3 linked regions of the Arabidopsis thaliana genome follow. The protein of the gene in region 3 binds, or shares a complex with, the protein of the main gene of each other region. Each region holds a gene or a part of one and is shown on either strand. Other genes may lie near its edges.

What was found.
Region 1: XPB1 (region 3) and AT1G12400 share a complex: the UniProt entries of both Arabidopsis thaliana proteins name them as parts of the 7-subunit TFIIH core complex.
Region 2: XPB1 (region 3) and AT1G18340 share a complex: the UniProt entries of both Arabidopsis thaliana proteins name them as parts of the 7-subunit TFIIH core complex.

Annotation. Positions count from the first base shown.
Region 1 is NC_003070.9:4,219,781-4,223,365, reverse strand, and holds AT1G12400 (Nucleotide excision repair, TFIIH, subunit TTDA), read right to left. Parts: upstream 1,540-3,585; 5' UTR 1,356-1,539; intron 1,080-1,355; 5' UTR 1,071-1,079; coding exon of another isoform or gene 1,036-1,070; 5' UTR 997-1,035; coding exon 763-996; 3' UTR 501-762; downstream 1-500. Other genes in the region: CLP2 (CLP protease proteolytic subunit 2), read right to left, coding at 83-126, 218-267; AT1G12390 (Cornichon family protein), read right to left, coding at 1,885-1,921, 2,015-2,137, 2,217-2,398, 2,948-3,019. UniProt on the Arabidopsis thaliana protein: Component of the general transcription and DNA repair factor IIH (TFIIH) core complex, which is involved in general and transcription-coupled nucleotide excision repair (NER) of damaged DNA and, when complexed to CAK, in RNA transcription by RNA polymerase II.
Region 2 is NC_003070.9:6,311,878-6,315,632, reverse strand, and holds the start of AT1G18340 (basal transcription factor complex subunit-like protein), read left to right. Parts: upstream 1-1,701; 5' UTR 1,702-1,898; coding exon 1,899-1,929; intron 1,930-2,052; coding exon 2,053-2,141; intron 2,142-2,222; coding exon 2,223-2,505; intron 2,506-2,774; coding exon 2,775-2,821; intron 2,822-3,014; coding exon 3,015-3,052; intron 3,053-3,138; coding exon 3,139-3,184; intron 3,185-3,283; coding exon 3,284-3,337; intron 3,338-3,421; coding exon 3,422-3,490; intron 3,491-3,597; coding exon 3,598-3,674; intron 3,675-3,755. UniProt on the Arabidopsis thaliana protein: Component of the general transcription and DNA repair factor IIH (TFIIH) core complex, which is involved in general and transcription-coupled nucleotide excision repair (NER) of damaged DNA and, when complexed to CAK, in RNA transcription by RNA polymerase II.
Region 3 is NC_003076.8:16,549,149-16,552,903, forward strand, and holds the start of XPB1 (DNA repair helicase XPB1-like protein), read left to right. Parts: upstream 1-1,970; 5' UTR 1,971-2,188; coding exon 2,189-2,198; intron 2,199-2,285; coding exon 2,286-2,329; intron 2,330-2,425; coding exon 2,426-2,498; intron 2,499-2,580; coding exon 2,581-2,749; intron 2,750-2,831; coding exon 2,832-3,054; intron 3,055-3,158; coding exon 3,159-3,215; intron 3,216-3,546; coding exon 3,547-3,690; intron 3,691-3,755. UniProt on the Arabidopsis thaliana protein: ATP-dependent 3'-5' DNA helicase/translocase; binds dsDNA rather than ssDNA, unzipping it in a translocase rather than classical helicase activity. Component of the general transcription and DNA repair factor IIH (TFIIH) core complex.

The sequences.
Region 1 (3,585 bases), on a different chromosome or scaffold from region 3:
TAAATCAGTTCCCTCACATCTCGCAGACCAATTCGATTAAAAACATGAACTTTCGGACATATTAAGAGGAAAAGGAACAAACTTGCAGATTGAGGCTTTAACCCAGAATAAAGCTTGATGCTACAGCTGCAAAAAGGACATAACAAAGCAATCAGATGCAAGTGAATATGTGTGAACAGAGACAAAAGTATGTAAATTTAGATAAATTGAAGATTACCTCGGACTCAGAGAAGGCTGGTGAAGCGTTGTATTAAACGAGACCGCCATGGTCGTCGAGCGTGTTAGAGCCGAACACTAGATTTTTTGTTTGTTTTATTTTAAGACTAGAAGAAGTGGAAAAGCTTACATACAGATTGGGTAATTTGTTGAAGAAGATTGGTTTATTGGTTTGCTTAACCGAATTGGTTCACATGTGCAAATTGTATGTGGTTAACTTAGTTTCTGATTTTACTTGGTTCATCCTTCATGAGTAAAATGAAATTTGGAACTTCCGAATTCTTTAATCTGTTTATTATCTACTACAAGTAATTGAACAATAACCAAACAAACGTGTTTATTCAACAAAAGAGTGACAAAGTAATCAACACAACCAGAGAAAACCGACTGATACTAAACCGGTACAGAGAGATTATTTGTCAACAAAGTTCACTTTAACTCTATTAAAGCATGAGCCATATCAACCAATCTCACGATCTCAATGAAGTTTTTATTCATTTGAATCAAATGAAAGAAAAACAAGAAGCAAGTGTGATGTGATGTGATCTAAGAAGTGGGCTTCTCGTAAGAGTTTTGATCTCTAAAATCAGAAATGGCGCTGCGGATCATCTGCTCTACATGTGGTTGCACGAACAAGTGAGTACTATCAAGTACATGAATTATGAATTTCTGAGACGGAGGCATCGAATTGTTCATGTTCACTATGAATTGTGTCATCGGAATATCGCTGCAAACAAACAAAAGATACAAAGAAACAATGAATGATTCAATTGTGTTCATCAAGATTTGCTTAGGAATCGTAACAACGGTAAGAAGTACCAAGAGACGAACACTCCTTTGATTGCATTAACCATAAGTAAAACCTGTAATACAAAACACGAATAATCTGAGCTCAATTTTCATCAAAAGATGACCCAAGAACATCCTCGATAACTCAGAACATAGATGAATGAAAGATTAATCCTTTGTTTCAATTCAAGGACCCCAAATTACTAGATGCAACGATTACATAACTGGGGTTTCGCTACCTAAACACCACAACATAAACTCGATTCCCAAATCTTAAGACTTTAACGATTACAGACCAAATAGAAATAGGATGAAACCAGATCAATTTGGTCTAGAGATCAACCACACACCTGTGAAACCACACGAAGAAGATTGGAGGAATCAATCAAGAGGGTAAGCGATGTTTGAGGCAGAGAAAGAAATCACCTTGATAACGACGATTATTGTCACAGTAAAGGAGAGAAGGATTAGCTTTATAAGATAACCTAATTACAAAACTGAAACAGAAGGTTCGGATCATCTTTTAAGTTATCGTTTATTACATCACTCAAAAGGGTTTCTCACTTTTAAAAGTCAAAGTTCACATGAATTAACTTTTTTTCTTCTTATATTTGAAATTATTCAGTTTCATTGTTACTGTAACCAGTAGTTTACGAGCTTGATTGCTTGTACAAATAATGATCAAGACATAAAAAAAACAGTTAATCTGAACATGTTTCTAAGAAAGAAATAAATACACAAATCTTCCTGCCACTAATCTTACAAACATCACAAAGCAAACACTTTTCCTTGCTTTTTTTCATGTCCACAAGCATGTCGCTGTATCTTTAAGCGTAGTGTCAATAAACCGAAGAAGATGGACCATGTCTTCTTCATTAGTCAGTCCTCGTAATCATCCAGCGCCGAATAAATCATCCTACGAAAAAAAGTTGCAAACAGAAAGTGTTTTAGCTCTCTTGATCTACTTATGGTTAAGCAATAATGGGATTCGAAATATCTTTCTCGTTACCAGAAGATAGTGAGAAAGAGGTTAAGGACAATGTAAGCAAGCTTGAACAGCCGTTTCTTCTTTTCCCAGTTAAGCAAATTGAAGATCTCGGTGACATCTACTAAGTGTTGTCGCTTCGAGTAACTGAACAACGGAGAAACCGAAAGGATATCAATACCACAACATTTGATTGGAGCAAAAGATTGAGATTAGTTGGACTTACAGATGGAAGTTGTAGTATAGATAGGGGAGACATAAGAGTGTCATGAACCAGTGTCCTGTTAGGAGGTAGAATACGCATAGAACTCCTTGAACAATGAACTCCGGTAAAACCACTGAGTTTATTCTCGACGCAGAGTCGTAAGGGTTGATGTAATCAAACTCGAGATCCGCTAAGCAAACAAGCTGCAAATGAAAGAATTCAAATTCAGAAAAGAGAAGTTAGCTTCCTAGAAAATGTCTTCCCAAGCTGTTTATACATGGAAGATTCCGTTTGCTAGCTTATCAGTCTCAGTGACTCCTCTCATTAGAGTCTACACAAACAAAACTAAAGGGTTCACTTCATTATGCCGAAATGGAGCTCATTTATAAAAGAACAACCTGTGCTTAAGGAGGTAAATCCTCAGACCTGACATGAACATCCAACATAAGAACTAACTATGAACCTATAAAAGTGTTTTGAGAAGCCAATACGCACTATATATGTTCCTGAATTTACTCCTTTGATGATAACATTCCCAAAAATTACACCTTTACTTCTTCCAAACATGTGACAAGAACATAAAACCCTAATTCTAGCTAAATCACAGACTACCCAGAAACAAAAAAAAGGCTCCAAATGAATCAAAATGGACAAATATGGTATCATTATAACCGTAAGCGAAAAAATTGGCAAATTCCGATAGAAAAGTTAAGAACTTTGGGTTTATTTATCCTAGAAATTGGGAATCGCACCTGATAGACGATGATTCCGACAAGAGCGATGAGGAAGAAGAAGGAAATAAGCCATGTCCAGATATCTCCCATCTTCCTCCTTTTGGTTCCGACAATTTCCTCGGATCTATCCTCGTTGTTTCTTGGTCTTCTCTCTCTCTCTCTCTCCTCCCAATAATGTTCGATGAGGAACAGAGAGAAAGTTAGGACAACGACTTAGTGGTCGGCTAGTTTTGACAGTTGAGCTCGAGATTCTGATCGGAAACAAAGAAGCCTAGAGAAGGCAGGCACGAGACTCAGCTTCCGGTTCAGTTTCCGGTTAAAATCGAATTCGTTATTTCCCGAAGTACGTACCATTTACGCCGGTTTAATATTTCAGTATTATGAATCTATGATTTATAAGCCATTGGGCCTCTATAGATTTAGCCCAATTAAATAGTAAACAGTTTGGGTTTGGGCACGAGAGCCGTGTAATTTTTGTTGAGTCGTGTATAATTTTTTTTAGGTCATTGTCTTATTGTATAGTTTTAAGGAAATCAAAAATGAAAAATTAAAAACAAAAATGGTACCAGAAACCATTCAATCATGTGATTGAGAAAAGCCAGCTGTTTTCTAGTACGAAGAAAAACAAGCTTCATCTTTTCCATGTATTTTTCTTT
Region 2 (3,755 bases), on a different chromosome or scaffold from region 3:
GTTGCAGTTTTTATATGGAGACTTGAGTGGGATTTAAGTGAGGAGCCTGGGAAGCTAATAAATCTTTCCATTAAATGTTAATCACTCTTTTTTGTTCTTTATCTTAATTATTATTTGTTGAGTTGTATCTAAAAATGGCAACTAGTGTGTCTACCGTTTATGTTTATCTTGCACGAGGTTAAATGCATGGGACTGCTATCTGTCCTACTTACCCGGAACCTGGCTATAGTGGCTTGTGTATATTGAGATAAATCTACGCAATAATGATTAGATTTATATACATTTAAAGAGTTTGTTTTAGTGATTTTGAATGGTAACTCAATTATCAAAGTTTGTTACAGCCTGTATCGTGATAATTACAAATTACAAAGGCGTTATAAAAGCGTTACTTTTAACGTTTTGCATTAATGATTAGATTTATATGCATTTAAAGAGTTTGTTTTAGTGATTTTGAATGGTAACTCAATTATCAAAGTTTGGTACAGCATGTACCGTGATATTACAAATTACAAAAGCGTTATAAAAACGTTATTTTTAACTTTTTGTACTACTTATTTATATAGTTTTGCATTCTAATTTACAGCTAAAACAACTTTAAAGCTTTGTGTTACCTATCAGAATCGTTATCTTCACATTCAAACACATAATCCATTGTTGTTGAAAAATAATAATACTTTCAAAACATTTATTTTAGTGATATTAATTTGACTTGATAGTAAGATTATTATTTACTCATAAAGACATTGGTGGAATTTAGTTATATAATTTTCATATACTAAACTATAGGAGATTTTAAAGTTTAATGTGAATTTGTGAGGTTCAATGTACCTCGGAGGCTAAGGACTTCTAATGAAAATGACCAAACAATAAGTTATATTTAGGCCATCATGCAAAAGCTTTCCAATGGCCATCGCCATTAATATTGCCAAGTTAATTATTAATATGATTTTAGTAAAAACTATGATTAGATCTTCAGATTCTTAGTGGACAGTCACACATGACCCTACGGATTACAAGTATTTAGCATGTCGATTGTCATGCGCGTATATATCCAAAGAATACTGAATAAAAATAATATGAAGTCAATCAAATGAATAACAATCAAATTATATGAAGTCAATCAAACCTTTATGAATGTGATTTGCTTCTTTTTCCAACCAAAAAACTTGTTTGTTTATTTGTTAGTTGTTACTCCCAAAAAAATGTAGTAAGCTTTTTATGCCCCATGTATTATATATCAAGACGATCTCCAAACATGACTATAGTTTCATAGGATGGATTGGATATCAGGACATGTGTGAATTTACTAATTTTTAGTATTGAAACAAACAACATTTCAACCAAAATTTTTTACCATTAAAATTAATATATCGACGTCCGATAGTATAAAGCTTGAATAAACTGAATTTCGTATCAGTAGCCAGTTTGAAAAATAAATTTGTTCCTTGAGATTTTGGTGTTCTTTTCCAAAAGAAAGAACAAAGAAAACAAAAGGCCCTTGTAAAAGGCGGTTTAGTTCATAAAGAAAACTGGGCCTATCTAAAAATTTGAACTAATGCCATATTTGGGCTTAGTAAGCCCGGCTTACGATACGACGTTTATAGTCGGATCTGATTCGGATCCAAACCCGTTTGATGGATCCGGCTCCTACCAAATCACTTCAGATTTCTGTATAAGCTAAAAATCCTTGAATTTTTCAGTAAGTTACTATAGCATCCGAGAATTTCATTCTTTAACTCTGGTTCGTAATCGGAAAACTCAAAGACCTGTTGTGAAGATATATTGGAGAAGAAAAAAAAAACGATTTCCCGGCACTGAAATAGCATTATCAGATCTCGTTCCCACCGGGAAGATTTCCCGGCACACTGAAATTCTGACTTGGAATCGTCTGTGAAACTATGCCTGCCATTGCTTCTAAGCAGTATTCAGGTTATTATTAAATTCCTCTTACTTCGAAACCCTCACATTCCTCAATCGTATAAGTATGTAGATTAGATATCCCAAAAACTGGAAACAAGTCTGATTGGCTCGTGATTGTTTTTTTGGTCGCAGACGATGTTAGTCTTCTAGTTTTGTTGCTTGATACGAATCCTCTTTTCTGGAGCACTACATCGATTACCTTCTCTCAGTTCCTTTCTCATGTAAGTGTCTCTAACGAATCTATTGTTTGTTTGTTCAATGCTTCGATTTTTATGCAGAAAGCTTGCTGCTGTTATGTGTAGGTGCTTGCGTTTCTTAATGCGGTTTTGGGGTTAAATCAGTTGAACCAAGTTGTAGTTATAGCTACTGGATACAGTTCTTGTGATTACATTTATGATTCGTCTTTGACATCAAATCATGGAAATTTCGAGAGCAATGGAACTGGAATGCCTGCAATTTTTGGTTCTTTGCTTAAGAAATTGGAAGAGTTTGTTACCAAAGATGAGGAGCTCAGCAAGGAGGAAGTGTCTGAGGATAGAATACCTTCTTGTCTCTTGTCAGGATCACTCTCCATGGCTCTTTGCTGTATCCTCTTGGAAAAGCATATAGCATCATGATAGGTTTCTTGAAGCTATATATAGTACAAACTATTAGGATTTGTTTGCATAAGTTCTGGCAGTGATCTTGAAGCTTAGCTTTCTCTCTAGACTGGGTTAAGTAAGGAACATTTTAGGTTGACATGTTTGTTCTCAGCTAAACCTATAGCATGTCTAAGGCCATCAATGTTATCTGGTAATATATGTATTTGATTTTCAGTCTTCACATTTTGTTGTTGACTTAATTTATGGCTCTAGATATACAGAGGGTTTTCCGTTCTGGACATCTTCATCCCCAGCCTCGGGTGAGTGTTCAGTAGGATATATGTATCAATCAGTTGTCTTGGATAAAACTTTTCATGTTGATTGCTTTGTATGAATCTTCAGCTTAAAGTATTAATGAGAATATAGACTCCTTTTTCTTATGTGTTATCTGTTCTATCGTATACCCCCAAAATACAGAACTGATTGTGCTATTGACGTTTATATGAAATACAGATTTTATGCTTGCAAGGTTCCCCAGATGGCCCGGAACAGTATGTTTCTTCCTTCATTTTTTTTCTACTTGCAAGATTTTGTCTTGTTTGTCTGGTCTCATTAAAAGGTTTTGTCATTCTTTCAGGTATGTTGCTGTTATGAACTCTATCTTCTCTGCCCAACGCTTGATGGTAATCTTCATTTTGATTGGTTCTTTGGGATTTCCGGTTCTTGATGTTCTCTAAATCCAGTATCATGTACCCAAATCACTTCATCAATTGGTTCTTTAGGTTCCCATTGATTCGTGTTACATAGGTGTACAGAACTCAGCATTTTTGCAGCAGGTAATATCATTTCTCCTTTATACATGATTCTAACTCGTCAAACTGGACCTATGCGTCAGCTGTTATCTCCTGGCTTATTTGTAGGCATCTTATATAACTGGTGGTGTACATCATACACCTAAACAGTTGGATGGGCTATTTCAATATCTAACGGTACGCAACTCAAGTCCAAACGCAAACCATTATGTGACTCGTCTCTCATTTAGCGAACTCAATACTCAATGGCTGCTAACTCTGGATTGTTTTGTTTTGCACAAAAGACAATCTTTGCAACCGATTTGCACTCCCGCGGTTTTGTACAACTTCCTAAACCCATAGGTGTAGATTTTCGCGCATCGTAAGTGATCAAGTCATTAACTCTTCAATTAATCGGGTCTTCCTCTGCATATATAACAGATGGTTTTAAGTACAAAATTTG
Region 3 (3,755 bases):
GTTTTGAGTTGTAACTTTGGTGCAAATTTGTTTCAGGCACAAAATCAAGAAAACCTAAACGAAGACACCCTACCTTAAAAGACCGTTAACATTTGATATTTGTTTTATTATGTGAATTGATTAATTGATATTAGAAAGTTCTTTCCTTTTTTTTGATATTTGTTTTCTAGCATATCATGATATCGCCTCGAGAATACCTTTGAAAATTATTTTGTTATTGTCAACTGTCATGATATCTCGCTGAACCAACATATAAAACACGATTATAATTTGGTTGACAGATCCTGAACAACAGTAAAACGTACTTAGTTTTCGAGGTTAAAAAATAATTACTTGTCATGATTTCGAATTAAAAATAATAATGGGCTCAATTTGAGATTAAAGAAAGCCCACGCTAAAAGAGGCCTACTAAATGCCCATATTGGATCCGTTATTGTAGCCTTTCTATATATGAATCGAGTTTGCATTTCTGCTATAACGTTCTCTGCATTCACATGATCACATCAACTCAGTAACGGACTCGACATACCCGGACCTGGACCCGACACCGAATCCGAATCATAATGCGACGGAGACGCAGCTCGCTTCTCGGTCTAGCTTACAACGGAAAATATTTACGGTACCGTTTGTTTTCCCTCTGTCGTAGAATTTCTGTCTTCGACACCGGATTGATATAATCGATTGAAAAGACAAGAGATAATGTCTAAAATTGATTCGATGAAGAGAAAAAGATCAATATGGGGAACGATAAAAGTCTCGATCTTACTGATTTTGGTTAATTTTCATATTACCCTGCAAAAAAAAGTATTGTCAATTCTGGGGAATTTTGTTGTTCAGGTGAAAGATGAAGAAGACCCGACTCTGTGTGTTTTTTCTTTTAAGTGTCGTACTGATGAAGAAGATCTGGGTCAATTAGTCATCCGTTATGGCCCAGTTGTTAAGATGTTATCCAAATCGTAAGAAGAAGGCCCGACATGTTTTTGAGACGTTGGTAAGAAGAAGGTCTTGCTTCTTTTGTGCATCCAGATAATGTCTATATGACCAAGGTAAGAGCATCCTCATTGCACATCCTCCAATGAATGTCTTTCATATTAAATAATATTAAATTTAAAGACCCTCTCTCTTTTGACAGGTAAAATGTCTACTATTAAGACACATCCATTTATTATTTTCCACTTTTTTAAGTAGTTTAAAAGTTTAAAGACACCCATAAAAGATATGCAATGAGGATGCTCTAAGGGACCGAGATTATATACTGCTGCAGATGGGGTAATGTAATGCTATTTGTCTTGTGCAGGAGCGTTGGATGTACATTGGTCTCCTCTTGGTTCATACTTTGTGTCACTTGAGAAGGAGAAGAACGTGGCAACTCTTTGGGCATTGAATCGTCTCCCATTCTCAGACCATGTACATTGCACAATTTTTATGAGTATCATAAGCCCAAAAATATTAAATTAATGAATAAAATAACTGATTTGGGTTTAAGTAGTATCACTGGAGTGATTTCTTTGATACCAGTCTCTGATAACGTGGCGGGTTATGATTAGTTGGGAAAACATGTTTTTGTGTGAAAAGAGAGAAATTTTTTTTTTCGATTAGTCGGGAAAACGCATCTTTTCGATTTTGCAATTTTTTTTTTTTAATGATACTAATACGATTTCACCGGTGGAAACAGATTTATTATCAATATTATAAAAAGTTTCAAACAATAAATAAACATTAAAATTAATAGTAAAATATTATTAATGGTACTCTATGAGTACCAACTATGTGCATGCTCTCATGCGCTTTCCTTCCTCATCCTATGGTTTGTCTTTCATCTCCCATTTTGCATATGTAAGAATAATCTTAGAGGCTAAAAGAAAAAAGAATGGGCTCAACGTGAGAATAAGAAAGCCCACATTAAAAGAGGTCTATTAAAGCCCATATTTGATCCGTTATTTATTTGTAGCCTTTTGAATCTTCTACTTTACATTTCCCTTCCTTGACATTAATGATTAAACCAGTGATACCCGAACCCGACACCGAATCCGATTCAAAATCCGCCGGGGACGCAGCTACTCCCTCCGCCAAATAGCTTTCAACGGTAAATTTTCACGGCGCCGGTTGTCTTCCTTCTTTGTTCTTCTCAGGAATCGCTAATTGATAACTTCAATTGGAAGATACAAGACAAAAAAAGAAGATCAATATGGGAAACGGTATTAAGCAGCTCGATCTTACTGATTTTTGCTTAGTTTATCTTGCCAAACAAAAGTATGCCAATACTGTGAAGTTCTGTTGTTCAGGTGAAAGAGGAAGACCTAACAAGAAGATGAAGTATGGTGGCAAGGTTCGTCTTGATTCTTCTCCAGATCAATTTTTTATTTTATCAATTAGGGCTCTTCAGATGGTAGTTAGTGAGTGTAATTGTACTGTCAAATCTCAGGATGATCAAAAGATGAAGAACATCCAAAACGCTGAAGATTACTATGATGATGCTGATGAAGACTCTCGTGATGGTAAGATTGTAGCATACTTATTACTTACAAATGGATACATTTGGAACAAAATTGAATTGAAAAGTTATAATGGTTTTTGAAGGTGAAGGAGAGGAGAAGAAGAGAGATTTTACTAAATTGGAGTTGAAGCCAGATCATGGAAACAGGCCTTTGTGGGCTTGTGCTGATGGAAGGATTTTCTTGGAGACATTTTCTCCTCTCTATAAACAAGCTTATGACTTTCTTATCGCCATTGCTGAACCCGTTTGCAGGTTCGATTTTGATTTGGTGATTATATCAATGTACAAGTTATGATTTTTGTTGTTGATTTTCATTCATTTGTTACTATTTCAGGCCTGAGTCAATGCACGAGTATAATTTAACCCCACACTCGTTGTATGCTGCTGTTTCCGTTGGTCTTGAGACAGAAACTATCATTTCTGTTTTGAATAAACTGTCTAAGACTAAGCTACCCAAGGAGATGATTGAGTTCATCCATGCTTCTACTGCTAATTATGGGAAAGTAAAGCTGGTTTTGAAGAAGAATCGGTATTTTATTGAGTCCCCATTCCCAGAGGTAAGTTCATTAGGCTGATGCTCTGTCTCTGCTCTTGTGTATTTGGATATTGGTTTTCGTTTTTCCATTGCCTTTGCTCAATTGTAAACACAAAACAATCTCAGGTTTTGAAAAGGCTTCTCAGCGACGATGTTATAAACCGAGCTAGATTTTCTTCTGAGGTATGTTGAACTCCTCCATTTAGTTCATTATGTTTGCTTTCAAGATTTTATGCTGGATGGAAATACATACCATTTTTGGTTGTTCTCAACGGTGTTTTGCATCTTTTGTCACCAGTGTGGCAGATATATATATATTTTGATTCTCTCAGGTTCTTGGTTTCATGTTTATATTCCTAACTCCTAAGTTCCTTGGAACGATGTTTCAGTTGGTAAATTAACTCATAATCCTTTTTTCTTAAACTCTTGATTCATTGACTGTTGATTTATTTAATCTAATACCATTGTATTCTCCACAGTATGTCGAACCAACTTAGATTAACTTTTTTGGTAGCCATATTATGGCGGTGATGGATTCTCGGTCGGCAGAACATGCGGTGAACTTGAAGCAGGACCCGGGGAGCTATTGAATGAAGCGGAATTTGCAGCAGCAGCAGAAGAGAAAGAAACTCACTCATTTGAGATTGACCCTGCACAGGTAAATTTCTCCTAATGCTTCTTAAAAGTAATCGAATTGATGAGTTTGGTAAAGTTGTATGATCT